2 linked regions of the Ovis aries genome follow. The protein of the gene in region 1 interacts with the protein of each later gene in a biochemical or structural test. Links are inferred from orthologs where the notes say so. Each region holds a gene or a part of one and is shown in the gene's direction. Other genes may lie near its edges.

Region 1 (10,040 bases):
AAACGCAATCCCTGACAGTTGGGTCCTGGAGCTGCATTTTCAGCAAGTGCCCTGGGTGATTCTGACACCAGGGGTTAGAGGGTGATACTTTGAGAAATGTCGCTGTGGGCTCCTCATCTGTAACCAGCGCCATGTCTGCACACTGTGGGTTCTTGGTACTGCTTCCTATTGAGTCTCTGCCTCAGAGAGGTAGAAACTGAACTGTTTATGGTACTAGACCAAGCGCCAGGAGAGGATAGTGCCCCTCAGCCTCCTGACAAAAACAAAGTAACTCCAATACCTGTAGAATCCTAATGTGTTCATGCTGGGTGGAAGCCCAGAGAGTATTTTATGAACCCATTCATTTCTGTCAGCATGGAGGTTGAGACTCAGATCCCTTTTATTCACTTGCTGAGCATTTGTTGAGAGCCTGCCTTGTGCTAGGCCGTGTGCTGGCCTGCACCTCTGTACCACTCCACCTGGAATCCACTGCCTTACCTCCGCTAAGGCCTAACAAGTGCTGTCTACAAAATGGATGCTCTTGATGGATAAATGCATGAATGAATGACCAATTCAAATAAAACTTGCTCTACATGAAAAATGGCAAGAACAATTTTCGATTAGGTATAGGAGATGATTGGGACCTTAGAACCCTTTCATTGACTTTAATATCTCAACTAATGCCGTCCTCCGTCCTCTTTCCATGTGATCGTCCCCACACACATTTTTTCATGGTTTTCAGTGCACATTCTATGTAATTATTTGGGAAAAAGATAATTTTACCTATCTATAGTTCTAAGTATGAGGGCTTATACCATTTGCCATCTTTGAGCTACATTAACGATAGTCTAACATTCTATATAGAGCAGTATAGTTTCCTGGTAGTCCTATACCTCATATCTACTGCTTGCCAACTCTGGAAAACCCTCTCTTTCTGTTCCAGGGAAATGGGTGATTGATCCCTCAGAGCTCACTTTTGTGCAGGAGATTGGCAGTGGGCAGTTTGGGTTGGTGCATCTTGGCTACTGGCTCAACAAGGACAAGGTGGCCATCAAAACCATTCAAGAAGGGGCTATGTCAGAAGAGGACTTCATTGAGGAGGCTGAAGTCATGATGTGAGTGGCCACACAGAGAGCACTGTGATCTTTCAATACCATTCTAATGTCGTCTTATGCCACCTCCCTGCCCAAGTCCAGCGATGGCTTCCTATGGCATGGAGAATAACACCAAGCTCCTCACTGTGGTCTAGAACGCCTGCCATGGTCTGGCCCTGCCCACTCCTTAACTTCATCTCCTACCCATCTCTCCTCTGGTTCCATGCATGCCAGTCACACTGACCTTCGTTGTCCTCACACACACCAGCTGAGTCCGCGCCATTCTTCAGCTCAATGAGACATTTTTGTTTGAGGGAGGGAGTGTATTTTGGGAAACTGAATTTAGACCATCTCAACTCTTGCCATTGTTCTCCAGGAAACTCTCTCACCCCAAACTAGTCCAGCTCTATGGAGTATGCCTGGAACAGGCCCCCATCTGCCTGGTGTTTGAGTTCATGGAACACGGCTGCCTGTCAGATTACCTGCGTAGCCAGAGGGGGCTCTTTGCCGCGGAGACCCTGCTGGGCATGTGTCTGGACGTATGTGAGGGCATGGCCTACCTGGAAGAGAAGTGTGTCATCCACAGAGACTTGGTAAGAGGATGCAGGGCAAAACCCTACAAGTCCAGGGTAAAGGGGCATGTCCCACTGAAATGCAGAACTACCAAGTCTGGGAACGGCACGAATCAATAAAAAGGCACAAGCTTTCTTCCTCCCCGTTGCAACTTCTTCCTTCCTCCACCCATGTGGGAGAGCCTCATGGGACTCAGTTCTGGGCTCTATTCCCAGCCCCACCTCTAACTTCCACTCTCTAAGTTGGAGTTTACATTCTTCCAAAATGAAGCTAACAGCGGCTCCTCCTTAACCTCTCTATGTCTCCACATCCTCTTGGTAAAATGAGAGAAGTTGACAAGCACATGCTTTCTTAAAATGTTATCCAAGGATCTATCAGGATCGCATTGGGGTGATCCTAGAACCAACCTCAGAATTTCTGGTGGTTGAGGCGCAGGAATATTCATTTTAACATGTCTACCCCATGGAATTTGCAGGCACATTAGAATTTAAGACTCACTGGATCTTTTATCAGTAAGGGATCTTCAAATCCAAGACTCTGTGATGTGAGTTAGGGACCATGTCATCTCCCCATTGAGGAATAGTTTTAAGAGAATTAGCAACCTCAATACATTCTCACTTTAGTCAAATGGATGACAGCTTCTCCATACCATCCCTAAGATTCACATCAGGTTGCACTGGAGCTTATAATTGGTTACACAACACCATGGATTTCTTTTTTGATTAGGATCCCAGGAATGAAGATGAAAGATGAGATTTACTCACCCTGATAAAAAGAGCTTACGCATTCAGTTTCCATCGCGCACTAGTGATGCTTAATTAACATTTGTGAAGCTCCTTATTGCTCCCATATAAGCAAAGCACTGTGATTATAGGAGACTCCTTAATTACTGATTACTCACCAAGTTTTCTTTTCCCTTTTGTTTGCCTGTCTCTGCTCCAGGCTGCCCGGAATTGTTTAGTTGGGGAAAACCAAGTCATCAAGGTGTCCGACTTTGGGATGACAAGGTAACATGGGGATGTGGTACCAGCAAAGTCTCAGGAATGGGACGCAGGCCCCCAGGACACTCGGACCATCTCTCTCCTCTCTCTTCCCAGGTTCGTCCTTGATGACCAATACACCAGTTCCACAGGCACCAAATTCCCAGTGAAGTGGGCATCTCCAGAAGTCTTCTCCTTCAGTCGCTACAGCAGCAAGTCAGATGTGTGGTCATTTGGTAAGTGTCATTCTGGCCCCACACCCACACAACCTGGGACTGTGTGCCAGTTGTTTCATTTGTCCAATTGCTGGGATGGTGAGGGCATCCCAGTGAGGGTCTGCAGACTCATTGTTGTATTTATTCTTGGTTATTTTTGAAATGGGGGTAAAAATAAAAATGAAAACAGGATGCTGATGACAGCTGCTGTGAGATCAAGAGATGGAGGAGTCAGAAGATTAGAATATGAGTCCCTGGAGGGCAGGAACCATGTTTTTTTGCAACATTATGTTTATTCCCACATTTAACCCTCAGTGAGTTTATTTCCCTTTCATTCAACAATGATTTTTTTAGCATCTACTACATGCCAGGGGCTAATTTGGGTGCTCACAAAGCATTGTTACATAGGATAGAAAAGACTCCTGTTTTCTTGGAGCCAAGTTTTAAGGAGAGATAACAGTCACGTAAACAAGCTAGTAAATATGTGTGTAAAGTCAAGTCAGGGAGTAGTAAGCAAGTGCTATGTAAAAAACAAAGCAGTAATGGGGCAAAGAGAGACTATAATGGAGGGAGGATCTGTATTAAATAGCAGGATCCATCCAGGAAGGCCTCTCCAAGATTCTCTGTGACTGTTGAGCAGAGAGCTGAATGATGAGAGGAAGATGTCTCCATTTGAAGATCCAGGAAAGAGTGTCCCTAACAAAGGCAGCAGCAAGTGCCAAAGTTTGGTGTGTCCAAAGAAAAGGGAGTACTGACTTAGCAGGAGAAATGTAGGCCATGAAATTGGTTGGCCATGGTAAAGAATTCGATTTCTCATAAGTGCAGATGGGCATGAATGAAAGAATGAATGATGCCCATGTGACAAGAAGCACTAAATGTTCTTGCTGGAAGTGTCATGTCTTTGTAAATCATAGCCTGTGCATATTAAAGTGTGCACAAAACTGTACTGGACAACCTCTTTGATCTGGAGTGTAAGGATTCTACTTTGGACAGGAATGGTTTGGAGTTTGATGTTGTCATTCTGTATGAAGGGAAGATTTGCCAAGTATATTGACTAGTAGTAGAAACCAGGGAGAAGACTAAATCCCTTAGGAAAAGAACTAATTAGTCTTCTTCAGTACTTTAGAATATCCATTACCAGCCAAGTGGTATGTTTATTTTGAGTCCTTCTAAATTGTTCCTTGGACCTCTCAGGTGGCTCAGTGGTAAAGAATACACCTGTCAACGCAGAAGACCAAGGTTTGAGCCCTGGGTCAGTAAGATCTCCTGGAGAAGGGAATGGCAACCCACTGCAATATTCTTGCCTGGGAAATCCCATGGACAGAGGGATTTAATGTCCCATAGCCTGGCAGGATACAGTCCACAGGGTCACAAAAGAGACAGATACGACTTAGCTACGAAACCACAACAACAACAAAAATTGTTCCTTAAAGTAGTTCCTCTGTTCAACAGGCCTAGCTATGACTTTGATAATCAAACTGAAGGTACAGAATGAACTCAGAAGAAATAAAACTGCACTAGAGCAACCTCAGATCCTCTTTGCCCCAGTGCATACAACTAGGAAGGGTGTGCCCACTCTCCCTGGGTACAGCTGGTTATGTTGCACCAAGCCAGTTGTTCCATAAAGAAACGATTGCAGCCATGGCCACTTTGTCACACTGACCCACTGACTCGGAATGGTGTTTATTCTGCCACAGGTTGTCAGCCTAGGACTTTGCTGCTGCATTTTATAATTAGAGGATTGAGCTTAGAGTCTGTCCCTTCCTAGGATGCGTCATCTGAAGTGTCCAAAGATGAGGCTGACTGATGGAAGCAGAGTAGGAAGGGTGAGAAAACTGGGGTGACAACCCTGAGAAACAGAAATGTGGAGGGAGGAGAGCTCGCTGCCTGCCTCAAGGCCATTGGCCTTTGTCACGCATTTTAAGGCTTTTGCCCTAATGAACTACGCTATTTTAAAGAAGTCAACTATCCTCTTTGGGGCCGTACTTAGTTCCTCAGTGCATTACAAGGTTTGCATAAAAGCAATTGTTTTCCAGCCAGCTTTGAGCAGCAAACCCCCATTTTCCAAAGAAAGCTCACTAGAAATCCTGGCATCTTGGGGTGTTAAATAGCCTTATTTACTGAATCTCCCCAAACTCCCGAGGCACTTTTGAGGCTCCCTCAGAAATTCTCATCCAATTGTCAGGATTGGGCCCCAGGATCTGCCACTGGGACAAATTTCTGACATGATTTTTCAAGACTTCAGACACTTGAGGGATCATATTTTGAATCAAATGGAAGAATCAAAATTCTTCCCTTGAGTTCTCTGGACTCTGTTTTGAAAACTACTGGATTAGGTGACCTGCAAGCTCTGTTCCCACTGTGACATCCAATGAATAGATTTAAGTACATAGTAAAGTTGGGTGTAATTTCTACTGAAGGCAGAAAAGGAAAAGTGATTAAATCAGAGGTCAAAAATAGACAACTTGAAGAGTTTTGCTCAGTTAACACAGTATTTTTTTAATCAAATTGAGTTTGCATTTTTAAACTACCAATTTATGATTTATCTTTTAAAGTAAATCAGACAAATGTGGCAATCCTGAACCCCCATTCCCAACTGCCCTACTCTTGTTGGAGCTAAATCACAGCTGTCCCTTTGGGGACAGAACTTTTAACTTCTGGTTTTCCACAGTCCTCACTAGTCCCTGTTATGCAGACTTCATTTACTCCATCCATCTACATCATGTGTAGACAGTTGAGCTTACATCCCCTGCAAACTTTAGTTGTAGCATTTGAGTTAGATATAACTAAGGGCTGAGCTTGAACATTCTTCATTTGGGAAATCTCTGTTCTTCAGAAATAGTACAGGGCTTTGGCAACCCATTCCAGTACTCTTGCCTGGAAAATCCCATGGATTGAGGAGCTGGTAGGCTACAGTCCATGGGGTCGCGAAGAGTCGAACATGACTGAGCGACCTCACTTTCACTTTTCACTTTTTATGCATTGGAGAAGGAAATGGCAACCCACTCCAGTGTTCTTGCCTGGAGAATCCCAGGTAATGGGGAGCCTGGTGGGCTGCCATCTCTGGGGTCGCACAGAGTCGGACACGACTGAAGTGACTTAGCAGCAGCAGCAGCAGTAAGGCTTAGGTGGTTTGACATTGCACTTTCTGGTGGTAGAGACTCAAATTTCAATTTCAAAGGGTCTGTGATTTCTAGATGTGAGTTTGTTGTTATTTATGAACTTTATCACTACCTGTTTTGATTCCCTATTTCTCATAGGTGTGCTGATGTGGGAAGTCTTCAGTGAAGGCAAAATCCCATATGAAAACCGCAGTAACTCAGAGGTGGTAGAAGACATCACCACTGGATTTCGGTTATACAAGCCCCGACTGGCCTCCCAGCATGTCTACCAGATCATGAATCATTGCTGGAAAGAGGTCAGTAAAGGAAGTGGTTCCCCCTTCTCCGTCCCTCACATTATAATCTGTAACTTCAGGGTCTGCCCCCATCCCCCAAAGAAGGAGCCCTCTCAGAGGATGAGGCAGTAGGGGTGACAAAACAGATTAGCAAGAAAATGACGTTGAGCACCTATTACCGGAAGAAGGAGTTCCCTATCTCTAGAAGAGCTGGCAGAGATCTTATATATTATTTGATTTGCAATATAATGGTACAAGCCATCAACACACTGTCAGAGAGGAAGAAGGGGTAGATTTGATTACATTTGTGTAGGCCTATTTCTGGGATCCTAACTCTACTCCATTTATCTGTCTATTCTTTCACCAACATCACAGACTCTTGATTACTAAAGCTTTGTAGTAAGTCTTAAAGTCGAGGAGTATCAGTCTTTTAACCTTGTTCACCTTGCTCAGTGTTGTGTTGGCTATTTTGAGTCTTTTACCTTTCCATATAAACCTTAGGAGTTTCCCTGATGGCTCAGACAGTAAAGAATCCACCTGTAATGTGGGAGACCTGGGTTTGATCCCTGGGTTGGGAAGATCCCCTGGAGGAGGGCCTGGCAACCCATTCCGTATTCTTACCTGGAGAATCCCCATGGACAGAGGAGCCCGGTGGGCTACAGTCCATGGGGTCCCAAAGAATTGGACATGACTGAGTAACTAAGCACAGCACAGCACATAAACCTTAGAGTCATTTTGTCAGTATCTACAAAATAAGTTGCTCGGTTCTTACTGTAATTGTGTTGAATCTATAGATCAAGTTGAAAACAAATGTCATCTTAACAATATAAAGTCTTCCTATACACAAAGATGGAATATTTTCCCATTTACTTAGATCTTCTTTGATATCTTGTTTTAGAATTTCATATTTTTCCTAGTATAGATCCTATACACATTTTATGAGATTTATACCCAAATATTTATTTTTTGATGCTATTTAGCGCTTATTTATGTTACGTTTTATATATGACTTTATTTCATTCTCTCAACAATCTTATGAGATAGATAATATTATTATCCTCATTTTACAGATAAAAAACTGAGGTTCAGAGACGTTAAATAACCTATTCAAGGTCACACAGCTAAGTGGAAAAGCTGAAATTCAAAAGCAGGCCATATTTTGATTCCAAAATGCCTGCTGTTAACAACTAAGACACAATGCTGTCAAATACAACATATACAGAAGCATATTTAAAAATAAGTAAAAAGTATTGCAGTTTAATGCTGGTTTGCTTTGGAATTAGCTATGACACACAAGTACAAGGAAATCACCGAATAACCTTTCTTTCTCTTCCTAGAAACCAGAAGACCGGCCACCTTTCTCCAGACTCTTGAGTCAACTGGCTGAAATTGCAGAACTGGGGCTTTAAAAGAGACTCAGTGCTGGGCCACGGGCTACAGATCCTGAGTAGGGGAAGGAGGTCTTCCCTCCACAGAGCATTAAAAGCTGCCACCAGCCCAGGACTCCCCAGAGGCAACTGGCCTGTCGCGCCAGTCCCTAAACTGCCACGGAGGCAGCAGCCTGCTAGAGGCTGGCGCCAGGCCACAGGCGGAAGGCTCAGCCACTGCACTGGGGGCGGGGCCAGAGCAGCAGTGATGTCCCTACCCTTCCTCCAGCCTCTTCTGCGTAATGCACAAACCTCAATCAACAGCTTTAAGGCAACACTTCTTGCACTTCTTAGAGAAGGGAGAGATGGTGTAGGACCCTGGATTATTACCTTCATTATTTTTTTAAACATGCATCTAAAGTTCATGGTCAAGGGATTCTTTATTTGACCCAGCAATACAGAATCCCAAAATATGGGGCGAGATGATCAAGGAGCATGACAATTTCTCAAGGAGAACTAATGAGTTAATTAAAGTCACAAAGAGTAAGCTCTGCCTCTGTGATGCTGTCAGCCACAGTTTCCTGCCTCAGAAGATGATGGAACAATTGCTTACCTCAGAGACCGGATATGCTGAGAAGCAGCTTTGTGAGGTTTTACTCATAGAGTACACTGCTACCCTCTCCTTGAAGAGAGCATGATGGACTGGGGTGAACAATTCTGATCTCACTGCTGGAGCATTGGATATCTGGCGTCTGGGCAGAAAGAGGGCATCAGATGATGGAACTACCTGGTACAAGAAAAGGCCTTAGGCTGTTACCACTTGGATGCTCATCTTTAGTACCAAGTCAAGCAGGTGACTCTGCCTCCCCTTTCATGCCGAATGCTTCCGCAGCATCCTGGGTTGGGGGGCAGTGGTGGGGGTGGAACCATGGCTTCTGTAAACAATCAGACCCCTCTCTGCATTCTTCCATCCTCACCAACAGAGTGCAGACTTGTGCCAGGCACTGTGGCCTGGTAGAGAAACTGAAGCTTGTTTCGGCCCTAGAGATTTGCAACTTCAAGGTTGAGACTTCAAGTCTCCCTAAATTCTAAGGGAGGAACAAGAGGTCTGTTCTTGCTCAAACCACCTGGATGGAAACTGAGTCAGGTACTGAGTCGGGGACTTCCAAGATGCACAAAGATGCCTCTTGTTATTGAGCACCTGAATATGCAAAGTGAAAATGTACAGAGCTACAGGCCTTATCTGCAGAATCTCAGTTCACCCTGAGTTCACACCAACACTGTGAGGTATTATTATCATTCCCATTTTACAGATAATGGAACTTTGGCTTTGAAAAGCTTGGACACCTGCCCGAAGTGACAGAGCTAGGAAGTGTTAATATAGAGCCCACCTCTGTCTGACGCCAATGCAGTTTCTCTATTTTTATTCAATACTGCCTCCTACTGAGGGTCAAAGAGATTGCAGAAGAGATAAGCACAGCAGAGGGGAAAAGCCCACACGGCACCATTAGCAAGTAAAGTTGATCCTGTATAGAGCAGTGTGGTTGTCGATGTAGCCCTCCAACTTGGAATAGGATCTTTATTTCCTCATCTATATCCTCACCTTCATTAGAGTTAATGACTTTGGAGTTATTAAAGGAGTAATTAACCCTTTGATTCACCCAACCCACCAGAGTAATACTGCAAGAAGCCCTTTATAGATGGGCTTCAAAGTGGCTTTAAAAGATTCTCCTGCAGAAGTATAAATACTTCCTTTAATTATCACTTCAACTTTGAACTGGCTGCGGTCTTCTTGGACACTTTCTGGGAAAGGGTATTCCCTGATGTGAGAGAGATTTAATTTTCCTACGGTGTTCAGATAAAACTCTCAGAGCGATTGCTGGATGGTGTTGAAGTCAACGCTTTCTAAATCATGTGATATGTTGACTGCCTGGTGATGCAGATGCACAGCTTTTAACTATAACTACCGTGACACTGGTAGCTTCAAGATAAAACTATCGTTCAGAAGATGACATTCCGCAACTTATCCAAAATCATCCCTGTTTACTTTTTTGGCATTTTGTACATTCTTTTTCGGAACCTTTAATTAGAGGTGATTTCTGGAACATCAAGCCTAGAAGGAAAACATCAGAATTGACTGATTTTCTGTGGTATGGTTTAGAATGATTCTCCCTTGCGTGGTATTATCTTGTTCAAGCTCAGATTCATTGAGGCTTTAACTCGACACGTGTCAAAAGTTTACCTCTCAGTGTTCTGAAAAATGGACTTCCTGCCTGTTTGGCTTCCCCCCCACCCCCGACCTCACATTTTGATAATGGTGCCGTGTGTTTACAGGGAATTCCCCTATGCAAAGTTTTGGTTGTAGATGCATTTGATAGATTCCGCATTGTGTCCTTTTGAGACTATGTATTTATATTTTACTAGAGTGAATATTT
Region 2 (10,823 bases), on another chromosome or scaffold:
ACCCACCTTCCACATTCTGACGCACCTCAGCCAAAACAGCCGAGAAAGAGAGACACAGAGAGAGGATGAAAAATACACATTTTTTGCAAAGTATGAAATTGTCAGCTCTGAGGAAGTGGAAACTATTGCCGCTCATTACCTCACAAGCAGCGACTGGTTCATGCTTTCCTGCTGCGTATCCAGGGATGGGTGGGGGGTGGTGACTGTGTCCAGACAGGGGTGGTCGCCAGGACACAAACCGCAGGGCGGCCTGGAGAAGCGCTGCCCTGGGGCTCGCCTGAGCCGCTCCGCGCACTCCCACTCCAGCCTCCAGGAGCACGGGGAGGAGCGTCCCTGCACACGGGCGGCCGCTGCAGGCCTGGCCTTCCTGGAAGGCACGCCCCAGGCAGGGCCCGCTCTGTCTAGTGCACGCTGCGTGGTGCAGAGGACGGCCAGCTCACCGAACGGCCAGGACCCCGTCCTGTGCCCCCGTTTGGAACCTCCTGTGTGGGTGGAGCCCTCAGTATCCAGAGGGATTGCACACAGAGAGTGCTTCCAGCGCCGGCCTCGGAGAGCAGAGCAGAGAATGGGCTTCTCCCTGGGAGGTGACAGCTACAGCTCTTCTTCCCACTGTAGACAAACATGGACAGGCCCCAAGGAAAACTTCCAGGAGCGATTGGCCTTGGCCCCAGGGGATGTATGGAGCCTTAACAGGTTGGTGGAGGTGAAACTGGAGTGAACCCTTGTGAGGGCACTCTCTCCATGGCCCGCAGTGCCCCGAGGTGCCACTGTCTCTGGGCCACAGGCCACCACCTGGTCTCTTTTCCCCAGCCAATACCCTCTGTCCAAATCACATCAGAATAAGCATGTCCTGCCTTCCACTTTTCAGCTCCGTGGGTCCCTCTCCTAAACGCGTCAACACGGGCTCTCCTTCATGGTCTCTATGTTTCCATTCCCCCCTGGTCCTCAAGCGACAGCTCCCATCCCTGGCCCCCAACCCCGCCCCCCACCCCCACCCCCAGGCTGCAACCCACAAGCCTCTTCTAGCAAATCGCGTTTTTCTCACTTCTAAAATTAGCTGTGAAGAAAGGCAGTTATCTCCTCATCAAATTCTTCTGTGGGTTAGTAGGAAAAAGAGCTGCAAGTCTGGACCGGGCAGGGTGGGGTAGGGGGCACATTAGGAGATCCTCCTCTCACTCTGGGTTGCAGTGCACACTGCTCCCATAGCCACCTTTTGTCTCTAAGCCCTAAAAATCTGACATGTTGCTCCCTGCAAGATTTGCTTTCTTGTCCACAGGCTCTATTGGATGTACATTTAAGATCCCTACCCCAAGAGCCCCCATCCCCATGTACTGATATGAATTGCTGTTATTGTGCACAGACCATTGACCATCACCCTAACCTGGAGAAAGAGATTACAAAGCCTTAGAAGGCCTTCACAACCTTTCAGTTTGAGCAAAACCCCTCATGAGTTCTGCTTTTCCCTCTTGCTGGAGGAGAGAGAGATGGGAGAGGGTGTCCACCCCCAAGCCACGGCTCTACCTCACCTAGCCTTACCTGCTCCCTGCTCTCTGCTCTACTTCGTGCTTGAAGTCAGGCCCACTGAGAGCTGGCCCCAGCCTGCCTCGCCGCAGCATCTCCTCTGCTCTCACGACTGCCCATTTTATAGGTGCAGAACTTGAGGCCAGGCCAAGTGAGCTGAGCTGCCCCAGGTTACTCTGGCCTTCCTGGTATCCTGAGCCTCTCTTGGGGTCCAGCTAGCCCCGCCCCTGGAACTTCTGGAATTCTCCAGCCAGGGATAGGAGCTGTGAAACTCGTGAGTGTCGGGAAATCACCGAGGACTGGGGAAGTGGGAAGGCTCCAGCCTGAAGCAGCCCACTTCCCCTTGCGCCACCTGCATTCCTGGCCCAGCTCCCCGTTTTGGGGAGTGGGTCTATGACGCTGTGGGGAAGGGGGCACCGAAGAACTGCCCTGGAGAAAGTGCTGCGTCCTCTTCTTAACCAGCCCTGGTCGCCAGCCTTGCCTGCTTTTCGTGGAAGGCAGGCTGATAGAGAGGACGCTGCATAGGCTCTGGAGAGCCAGCCGGGTTTGAACCTCTGCTCCACCTTGTGCAATTTATGGAACATCTCAGAGTCCCAAGGTGGCACAGAGGTCAAGGGCAGGGGCTCTGGACTCAGAGACAGTTCCAGACAAGACCTGCTGCACCACCTACCTGCTGGGTGCAAGGGTGGCAAGAAGCTTTACCTCCGGAGCCTGAGTTTTCCCTTCTGTGAGCAGGAGTGATACAGTGCCCACAATTAGTGCAGAGTCCTCGGGCTACTCCTTTGCACAGTGATTCTTGGTGATTCCCGTTGTCATCACTGTCATGCAGGTTTCTTAACTGCTATGTCTCTCTTTTACGTGGGTCTAGAGATTGTCCATCTTGGCCACATTCATTGGATAATTCTTCCAAAAGAACCTCATGTTTAGCTGTAAGTTAATTCCAACTTCTGATTTTCTGTAGATTTGGATTCTTGTGAGTATGGTAAACGTCATTTAAAAAATTGCTTCTCTTTCTGAGGATGATCTCGAATGTTCCTTTCCACAGGGGTGCACAGGTGTGGAATGTTTTGTTTGCTCATGAAGCATAGCCCAAGACACACTCCAGACCATGCCACGTCACATATCACACACAGGTTCAGAATGCCTTCCCTCAGCTGCCTCTTCCAAGGCCCTGCTTAAATCCCAGCTAATTCCATGATATCTTCTTTGACTTCTTTATGTGGAGCCACTTATCTCTCTTCCTCTCTTTTCAAATGGGCTTTTTATCATTTGCTGCTCTTCTGGGGATTTAAAAAGTGAAGGGGCCTCTCCCATCCGTGGTAGAACTTTTGAGCAGCAGGCCATGCTTCCTAGGGCATGGTCAGTTGCAGAGAGCACTGAGGTTCCAGCCCTGTGAGAAGTGCTCGGCCTGGGCTGCCTCAGCTGATGCCTCTGGCGCCCTTGGAGGTAAAGATGACATTAACTCAGATTCATGGACCACATCCATTAAGATGCTTAGTCCGGGATAAAGGGCAGATCTTATTTACATAAAGACGTGGCGAGGTTGGTGCATAACAGTGAGGGTGGGGCTCCTGAGGTTGCGTATACGATGGAAACTGCATGGCCAAAGCGATCTTTGAAAAAGCTTCAGGAAGCCATCACTTCAGGGGCCAACTCAGTAAACGCAACAGACTCAAACCTCAGGACAGACAGTCGTTTGTGTGTTCCTGGGGAGCACTAGATAGAACGGTGAAATTGGAGCCTGTGGTGTTCCACGGATATGTTTACTTTTGACACTGGGTTCACCCTCAGTCCAGGAGATGCTCAGCTACGAGAAGTGCACAGGGTCTGAGAAACTGACAGAGAGAACCCAGACTCCCACCTGCTGTCTCCAGGGATGTGCTCTTTAGAAAGAAATGTGGACGAATAAATAGCAGATAGAATGTCTGGGGGAACAAGAGTGACTAGACTATATGGCAACATCAGTAGCAATTGTTATTTTTTTCCTTCCTTAAGTTTGTCTAGCTAAATACATCTATAGTTTTATGCGCATATGAAGCAATTTTTCTGTTCCTGTTTTACACATATGGAAACTGAGCTTCCTAGAGTTTAAGCCTTTGCCTGAGGTTGCCCAGCATGGAAACAAGTATATCTGAAATGAAGCCTGGGGATTGTCCTGCTGGTCCAGTGGTTAAGACTCCATGCTCGCACAGCAGGGGCCTGGGTTCCGTCCCTGGTCACGGAACTCCAGCCCATGTGCTGGACCTAAAGATCCTGTGTGTTGTGGCCAAGACCTGGTGCCACCAAATAAACAGATGAAGAAGAAGATGAAAGAAAGAAAGAAAGAAATGAAGCCCAGGTCTTCCCAGTGGTGCTCCTTTCTCAGTTCTGGATCCCAACTCACTGACTCAGAGGATCCACTTGTACTAACTATAAGGGGCAGCTAAAGAAGCTCAACCTTAACACTTTTGAGAGAAACTGAGTCGTGGTTGGAAAGCATTGAAAGGTCATGTTCCTTCCCCTTCACTGATGTGGGAGATTGTCTATATTTTAGGTGAACCGTCAAATTAGATTTTTCATCTGTAAAGACCCACCCAAGCAGGAATGTGGTTTAAATATTAAACATATGGATGCCAGGGATTTCAATGGAAACACACTTGAGTGTCTAAGTTCCCTTCATCGCTCCTCCTACTGGGCTGGGGTAGATGGGGCCCAGCGGGGAATTACCAGCCTGTAGCTCTTTCTGCCTCTTGAGTCCCCAGAGCTGGGCTTCCTTGTTTACTTATTTAGAGCCCAGCAGAGGAAGTGGTAAAGGAAACTTGCTGAGTCGTTTTCTGAGAAGAGACCATATTTGTTCGCAGAGGAAGCTGTTGCTTTCTGGGATCTGGCTGCAACAGAAAGGACATCGGCTCCAACAAGACTTTTCCAGAAGGTACCCGGGAGTTGGAAGAGCTGAAGACACCTCCAGACTCTGGATTTGGGGTTCTCTGTCCATGGGTGCAGCGCCCATGCTCAGCTGGTGAGCTTCCTCCTGAGTGAGCAGACATGGCATTCAAGAACGTGCCCTTTCGCTCTGAGGTCCTGAACTGGGACCCTGACGCCCTTGCAGACTATTTCAAAAAGGTGAGCCTTGCTCTTTAGTGGCCGGGGGGCTGGGCAGAGGCTTGAAGAGGGAGTGCAGGCAGAATGAGAGAGGCATGAAGGACAGCAGCGGAGCTTCCAGCCTTGGGCAGTCTCTCTGGTTGACGGAGCAACACTGAGCTCTCTGGCCATACGTTCTGGGGAGAAGGGAAGCCCTCAAGAGGCGAGTGCCTACTACACGCTAGGATTTGAGTTTGTCCCCTTCAGGCACGGACGCATCTAACTCGCTCCAGGATTGCTGTCCTACTGGCTCAGCTGCGAAATAAGCCAAGGGAAGCTAACTGGCCCCAAACCCCAGGGACTGCATGTGATGGAGGCAGAATTCCGGTCACACCTGTCCAGTATCAGAGTCCGTGCCCTGAGACTCAGAACCGCTATAACTGCTAGTGAGATCAAGGCTTCTTGCTCGAAAGGAAACATGGAGTCTTGAGGGGTAGGAGAGAGGAAAGGCAGGGTGGAAGACTGTGATGAACGATGCTGGAGATGGCGTCTGAGCAAGTCATTGCTTGTGACTTTGAAAGAGAGCTATTCAACCACTTACCTAGAACAGAGTCTCATGGGAACTTCATGAGGGTCTTATGATGCAGGCTGGGAAATGACATGAGCCTCAGGCCTTCAGATACTGAGGCCTCCGAAAAGGAAAAGATTTGCCGGGAAGGGTCAGGGGCCAAGCTTGTGGCAGAGCTGAGACCAGAGTGTTGCTATCCCACCTTCTCGTCTTGAAGGAGCTCAAGGATCCTTGTGTTTGGTCATCTGCTGGTGGGGCCATGGGTCACAGGCTTGCTAGGGCAGATCCCAAGTCATGTGACCCTCTATGACTGTCCAAGGGATACGTTGTCTTGTGAGGGACCTCTGAGCTCTTAACACTCCCATTTCTGGAGGCTGGCATCCAATTCAGTGGATACTCCAGATTATCACAAGGATATGGTTTTAAGTCATGACCTTAGAGGTTTTCTAAGTTAACTTACTATTTTTCCTGGTATGGGGTAGGCTCCCTGTAACACATACCCAAACCTGGGGTCTACATGGTGCCAAAGTACTTAGTGCCACAACTATTCTGCCCTAAGAAAAATGTGAAAATGTTGAATTGGGTGTGGCATGGTAGAGGCACAACCCACAGATCCTGTTATTTGCTGCCTGCTGTGCATCTCATTTCGGTTATTTTTCCCTCACTGGAAGTCATAATAACCTTAGGTTTCAGCACAGTGGGTGCAAAGATCGTTGAGATAGCTGACTTTTGAAAGAGTCAAAAGTATTTATTCTAAATGCTTTTCTTAAATTTAGACCAAATAACTGAGGGCCACAGTGAAATTTACTAAGATGCTATAAACTGGCATATTAGATCAATACAGAAAGGAGAAAAGAACTGAGAATTATCAAGGGCACTTCTGGGGACAGGCTGATGGGCCAGAGGCCCAGCCTCCAATAAGAGAAAGAGAACTGTACAACCCAGGTCAGCAACGGAGGAATCCAAGTTCCGTTCAGGACAGGGAGATGGCCTGCAGGTCAGGATGACTCACGTAGCTGCTCTCTGCCTCAGTTGGGGGAAGAGAGAATTTTCTTACAGACCCTGGACTCCAGATCATGTCCACAGAAACTGAACAGGTTCCCTTCCCCGCATGAAGGAAGGGACGAGGAGACTGAAGGGTGTTTGTGATCTAGGAAGTTCTGGCCCTTCTACAGACCCAGATAGACACCCTTTAAATGCTAAGCACCTCACTTCCCCCAGAGAGAAAATGCTAAGTGAACTGACCGTGGCGTCCTTTGGGGTTGGATCTTAGCCACCGAAGACCCACTGGCAGATGCGATTTCTCTCTTTTTTTTTTAAATTAAGGAATGTGTCATGTCTCTGACTTAGGCATGCCATTTTCTTTTCCTTCCTTTCAATTAATTTTTGTTTCTTTATTTGACTGTGCTGGGTTTTAGTTGTGGTGTTCAGGATCTGATTTGTGCCATGCTGGATCTCTCAGCTGTGGCATGAACCCAAGCATCCTGTATTTGGAGTCAGCCCCTGGACTGCCAGGGAAATCCCAGAAGGTTTACTTTCTAACGAAACGCTGGGGTCAGGTCTCCCTTGGAGGCACCTCCCCAACCAGCTCTGGAGTCAGCCACACCTTGGCTTGAATCCCGACTCCGCCACCTGCTAACTTGCTGACCCTCCCTTAGTTACTATACCTCTCTGTGCCTCAGCTTCCTCGTCGGTAAAACAGAGACACTCGTAGTAATTGGCTCGTGGGATTGTCGGGATAAATAGAGGAGATACATGTGTGAGGCCTCCAGCAGAGAGGGGTCTGATTCACGTTCGAGCTTCCCTTTCTCCTACTCTATTCACCGGACCCTGCCTGGGGACTCCATGCAGACCAGCAGGCTTTTGTGTCTTACTGTCTCAGACATGTGCAGCTCATCCTCTGTCCAGAACTTAAGCCCTTGAGGATTGAGGTCATGTTTTCTATTTCTTTAAGTCCTCTGATTCCTTTTGACTTAGCAGAAAGGGATCCTTGGACCATGCAACGGAAAAGACTCTGGATCAGAGCCATGAGTTCTAATCCTAGCTGCGTCCCCAACTCACTGTGTGACCTTCAGCCAGTCCCTTCCCCTCTCTGGGCCTTAGTTGTCCTGTCCACAACACCAGGTACCTGCTCAGAGCAGTGCCAACCAGAGCTTGTCACTCATAAGAATTATCTGGGTATATGCTAAAAAGACAGGGCTTCCCTGGGATCTCAGTTGGTAAAGGATCTGCCTGCAACGCAGGAGACATGGGTTCGATCCCTGGGTCAGGAAGATCCCCTGGAGAAGGAAATCCCCTGGATTTCCCAGTATTCTTGCCTGGAAAATCCCATGGACAGAGGAGCCTGGTGAGCTACAGTTCACAGAGTCACAAGGAGCAGGATACTACTGAAGGACTGAGTATGTATGCATGCATGCTGAAAGGACAGAGGTCTTACTCCCAGGCCTGATATTACTGACTCAGAACCAAACTTCCGGGCAGGCCCCAGTCTGCGGGACTGTCTGTCTATCTAGAGTCCAAGTCAGAACTCTGCAAAATCAGAGATTTAGCTCATAACGCTGGTGGTGAAACTGATGAATTAAAGGCAGTTGAACATTCCAAGAACAATTTCACCATTTGCAACATGGATAAAAGGGATGTTTGGGGCTATGCAGAAGCTGGTTTCTTCCCACGGACCACTAAATCATTTTTTCCGAGCTTTCTAATATTCACCCTACTCTGTCATCCCATGAAGTTCACAACAATTGCCCTCACTCTTTTGATTTCTTGGCCATAAGAAAAGGTTGTGATTTTAAGTTACCAAAAAAAGGTGTCCACAAACTGTGAAATCCATACTTTCGAGGAGAAGCTGAGATTCTCAAGGACAAACATTTTACCTTAAATTCTCTGGCTAGAAACCTCAAATTTAGAGATATTTCAAAGGTAACTGCTCACACTGTTGAGGACTAGGCCAAACAGACACCTGCTTCAATTGTCAATTGGTGTGACTCTAGGAAAGCAGCAGGTTCTAAAAATGATCATTCCTGTTGAGGCGGTAAACCTATTCTGAGACTCTAACTTCAACTATTTAAAACAGAAGAAAAAATTTTATGCAAAAGAATATCTATGATGTTGTTTGATCTTGTAGGTTAAGCTGCACTTAAGTCTGTTCACTTACCGTTTGTAAGTTTTACTGTTAGTAACTAAAAGGAGAATACTCCTGATAGAGACATTAAAACCTTGCTCTGAAGCCCAGCTGTCACTTCTGCCACCTGCCTATCCATGGAACCTTGTATAAGTTACTTGACTCTTTGTGCCTTTGACTCTCCATTTGAAAAATATGAAGCTTAAATGATTAAAATTGTTTTAAGCACTTAGAATGGTGCCTACCATATGGCAAGTATTCAGGAATTATTAGAAGTTTCAATTATCATTGTTACAGCAGCAATTTGGGGAAATAACGAAATATTCAGCAATAGAGCAAATTAAAATAATGTTCAAAATCACTTTGTAATAACATGAGTCAGTGCCTTTATTTTTCAAGAGAAAAAGACAAGATAAGGAGATTGAATATGAATGATAACACTGACTGTGTTTAGAAAGATGCTTTGGAAAAACCACTGAAGGAAACACATTGCCATGTTCACCCGGGTTGTCTTTGGGTGACCAGATGATGCCTACTATTTGTTTTCTTCTTTCAACTCTTTTCCATTTGCCGGAGGAGCGTATGGCCAGCCCTTGGCAGCTCTAGCAGCGTTCTTTCTGTAGGGGTTGGCCTCAAAGCCTTCGACAGGCAATTTCTCCATTTTACAGTCCCAAGGGGTTAGTTAGTGAAAGCAGGGCTGATGTAAGGATAGGGCGCCTCTGACAGACAGCGGGGGAGCGGGGAGCCTGGCTAGCCACAAGCACCACAGATTGCTGAGCTCCTGGGGCAGGCAAGGACGGGGAGCCAGTGGCGTGAACCCGACTGCACTGTTACACCTCCTCTCCTCTGTTTCAGCTAAACTACAAGGACTGTGAAAAGGTCGTGAAGAAGCATCACATCGATGGGCCACGGTTTCTGGTGAGTGCTGGCTGCTAGTTCAACGCATTATGACCAAAACTATTCTGTAACTTTAACCAACGGCTGCAGAGCCAACTTTCTACCCTGTCTCTGAGGCTGCGCAGGGGCATTGCCTGTCTTCAGGATCGCGTACAACCCAAGGCCTTCTTCAGGGTTTTGTATGAGCGCCTCTCTCATCACCTCTCAGGATCCTCCTATTTAGTATACCTCCCACATCTTTCACTGACACTAAGGTACATTCTGAAGTCAAAGTGTAACTAGGAATCAAATTACAGTTAACACACACACATACCCCTCTTGAAAATCTATTCAAATAGCACTCATACTCTGAGAAGTTCAAGGGGGAAAACCAGCCACATGGGAGAATGGAAGACTCTCTTTTCCTATTTGTCACTCTAGGGAACATACTTGCTGACTAGAATAAATGGTAGAATCGCCCTCCTTATTTCAGTTATGTCCCTCTTTCTCTTTACAAATTCACACCATTGGTTTTGTGCCAATCAACACACATGTGCTATGACTTTCTCTGCTCCTTTATATTGCAAGAAGTTTCCAGTGTAATACTAAGAGGCAGCTCTATACTAAGTATTAAGCCATTACAGAGAAGGGGCTGCTGCTCTAGGTGGAGTTTGAGCCACTGGGCAGTGGCTGGGGAGGTGGTGTGAGCATTTCCCCTGGAATGACACTTTTGCCAGTGGGTAATGGAGACCCTGACTGTACCGATCCAGCTCTTTTGGTTGTGTTTCTTCATTGTTCAAAAACGAAGCAGGAGCAAGCCTTCAAAGGTCTCATGGGGTCAATGTTCCCAATTTGGATTTGGACTCGGTGGATAAGTCAAACTGTTTCCTGGCAAGACCTGGTCAGCAGTAGTGAGGAAACTGGGCTATGGGGCTTCAGGGATGGAAGGGGCCGTAGAGGGTACACGCTCTAGTTTTCCACCCAGTACACCAATCCGTTTCCTGTATAGCATCTCTGCTACCAATAGCTTCTTGAATTCCTTCACTGATGGTGAGCTCACTACCATACACAGTCATCTATTCCTTTCTGGGCAGAACTTAAGTCTCACACTGAGACCAAACTTATGCCCCCTTTGCTTTCATGGGCCATATAAGACATCTTCATTCACTGTTCCACGTAAGTCATTCAGTCATTCCCCCTGCCATTCACTTAACAAGGACTTTCCTGGGCTCCTTTTATACACCAGACCATGCCATGTGCTAGGAATGTAGAGATGATTAAGATGAGATTTCTGCCTCCCAGAAGCTTGTTTTATAGCGGAGCGTTATCTCCAGGAAGGCTCTGACCACCGCCTCAGTTGCAATTACAGAAACATGTACAGAAATGTGATGTGATTTACTCTGTCACACACCCAGTTACTGGACTAAAGCGCATATTTAATTTAATTTTACACTGCTTGAGTTTTGAACAGCGCCACTTCTTTGCACTGGGCTTTAAGCTACTAGACTTTGAGCATTTAATTGTTATTCTTCTTGCAACTTACCGCTAAATCTGAATATTTCATTGTTTTAGCTTTTAGCTAAAAGATGCTTTTAGAACTGAGAACTGAGATTTCTCAGGGCTGAATCGAAAGGGAGTAAGACCTCTTTCTTGAAGATGGTCCTGGTCATAGCC

What was found.
Region 2: the proteins of ITK (region 1) and LCP2 form a complex in vitro, tested with the Homo sapiens proteins (2 studies listed by BioGRID, with this or other methods). The link is inferred for Ovis aries from reciprocal best matches to the Homo sapiens genes ITK and LCP2.

The regions. Positions count from the first base shown.
Region 1 is NC_056058.1:66,503,935-66,513,974, forward strand, and holds part of ITK (tyrosine-protein kinase ITK/TSK), read left to right. Parts: intron 1-922; coding exon 923-1,094; intron 1,095-1,449; coding exon 1,450-1,666; intron 1,667-2,588; coding exon 2,589-2,653; intron 2,654-2,743; coding exon 2,744-2,862; intron 2,863-6,101; coding exon 6,102-6,259; intron 6,260-7,575; coding exon 7,576-7,647; 3' UTR 7,648-10,040. UniProt on the Homo sapiens protein: Tyrosine kinase that plays an essential role in regulation of the adaptive immune response. Regulates the development, function and differentiation of conventional T-cells and nonconventional NKT-cells.
Region 2 is NC_056069.1:2,359,886-2,370,708, reverse strand, and holds the start of LCP2 (lymphocyte cytosolic protein 2), read left to right. Parts: upstream 1-4,336; 5' UTR 4,337-4,545; coding exon 4,546-4,623; intron 4,624-5,182; exon of another isoform or gene 5,183-5,444; intron 5,445-9,128; coding exon 9,129-9,191; intron 9,192-10,823. UniProt on the Homo sapiens protein: Adapter protein primarily involved in signaling pathways within T-cells, as well as other immune cells such as platelets, mast cells, and natural killer (NK) cells.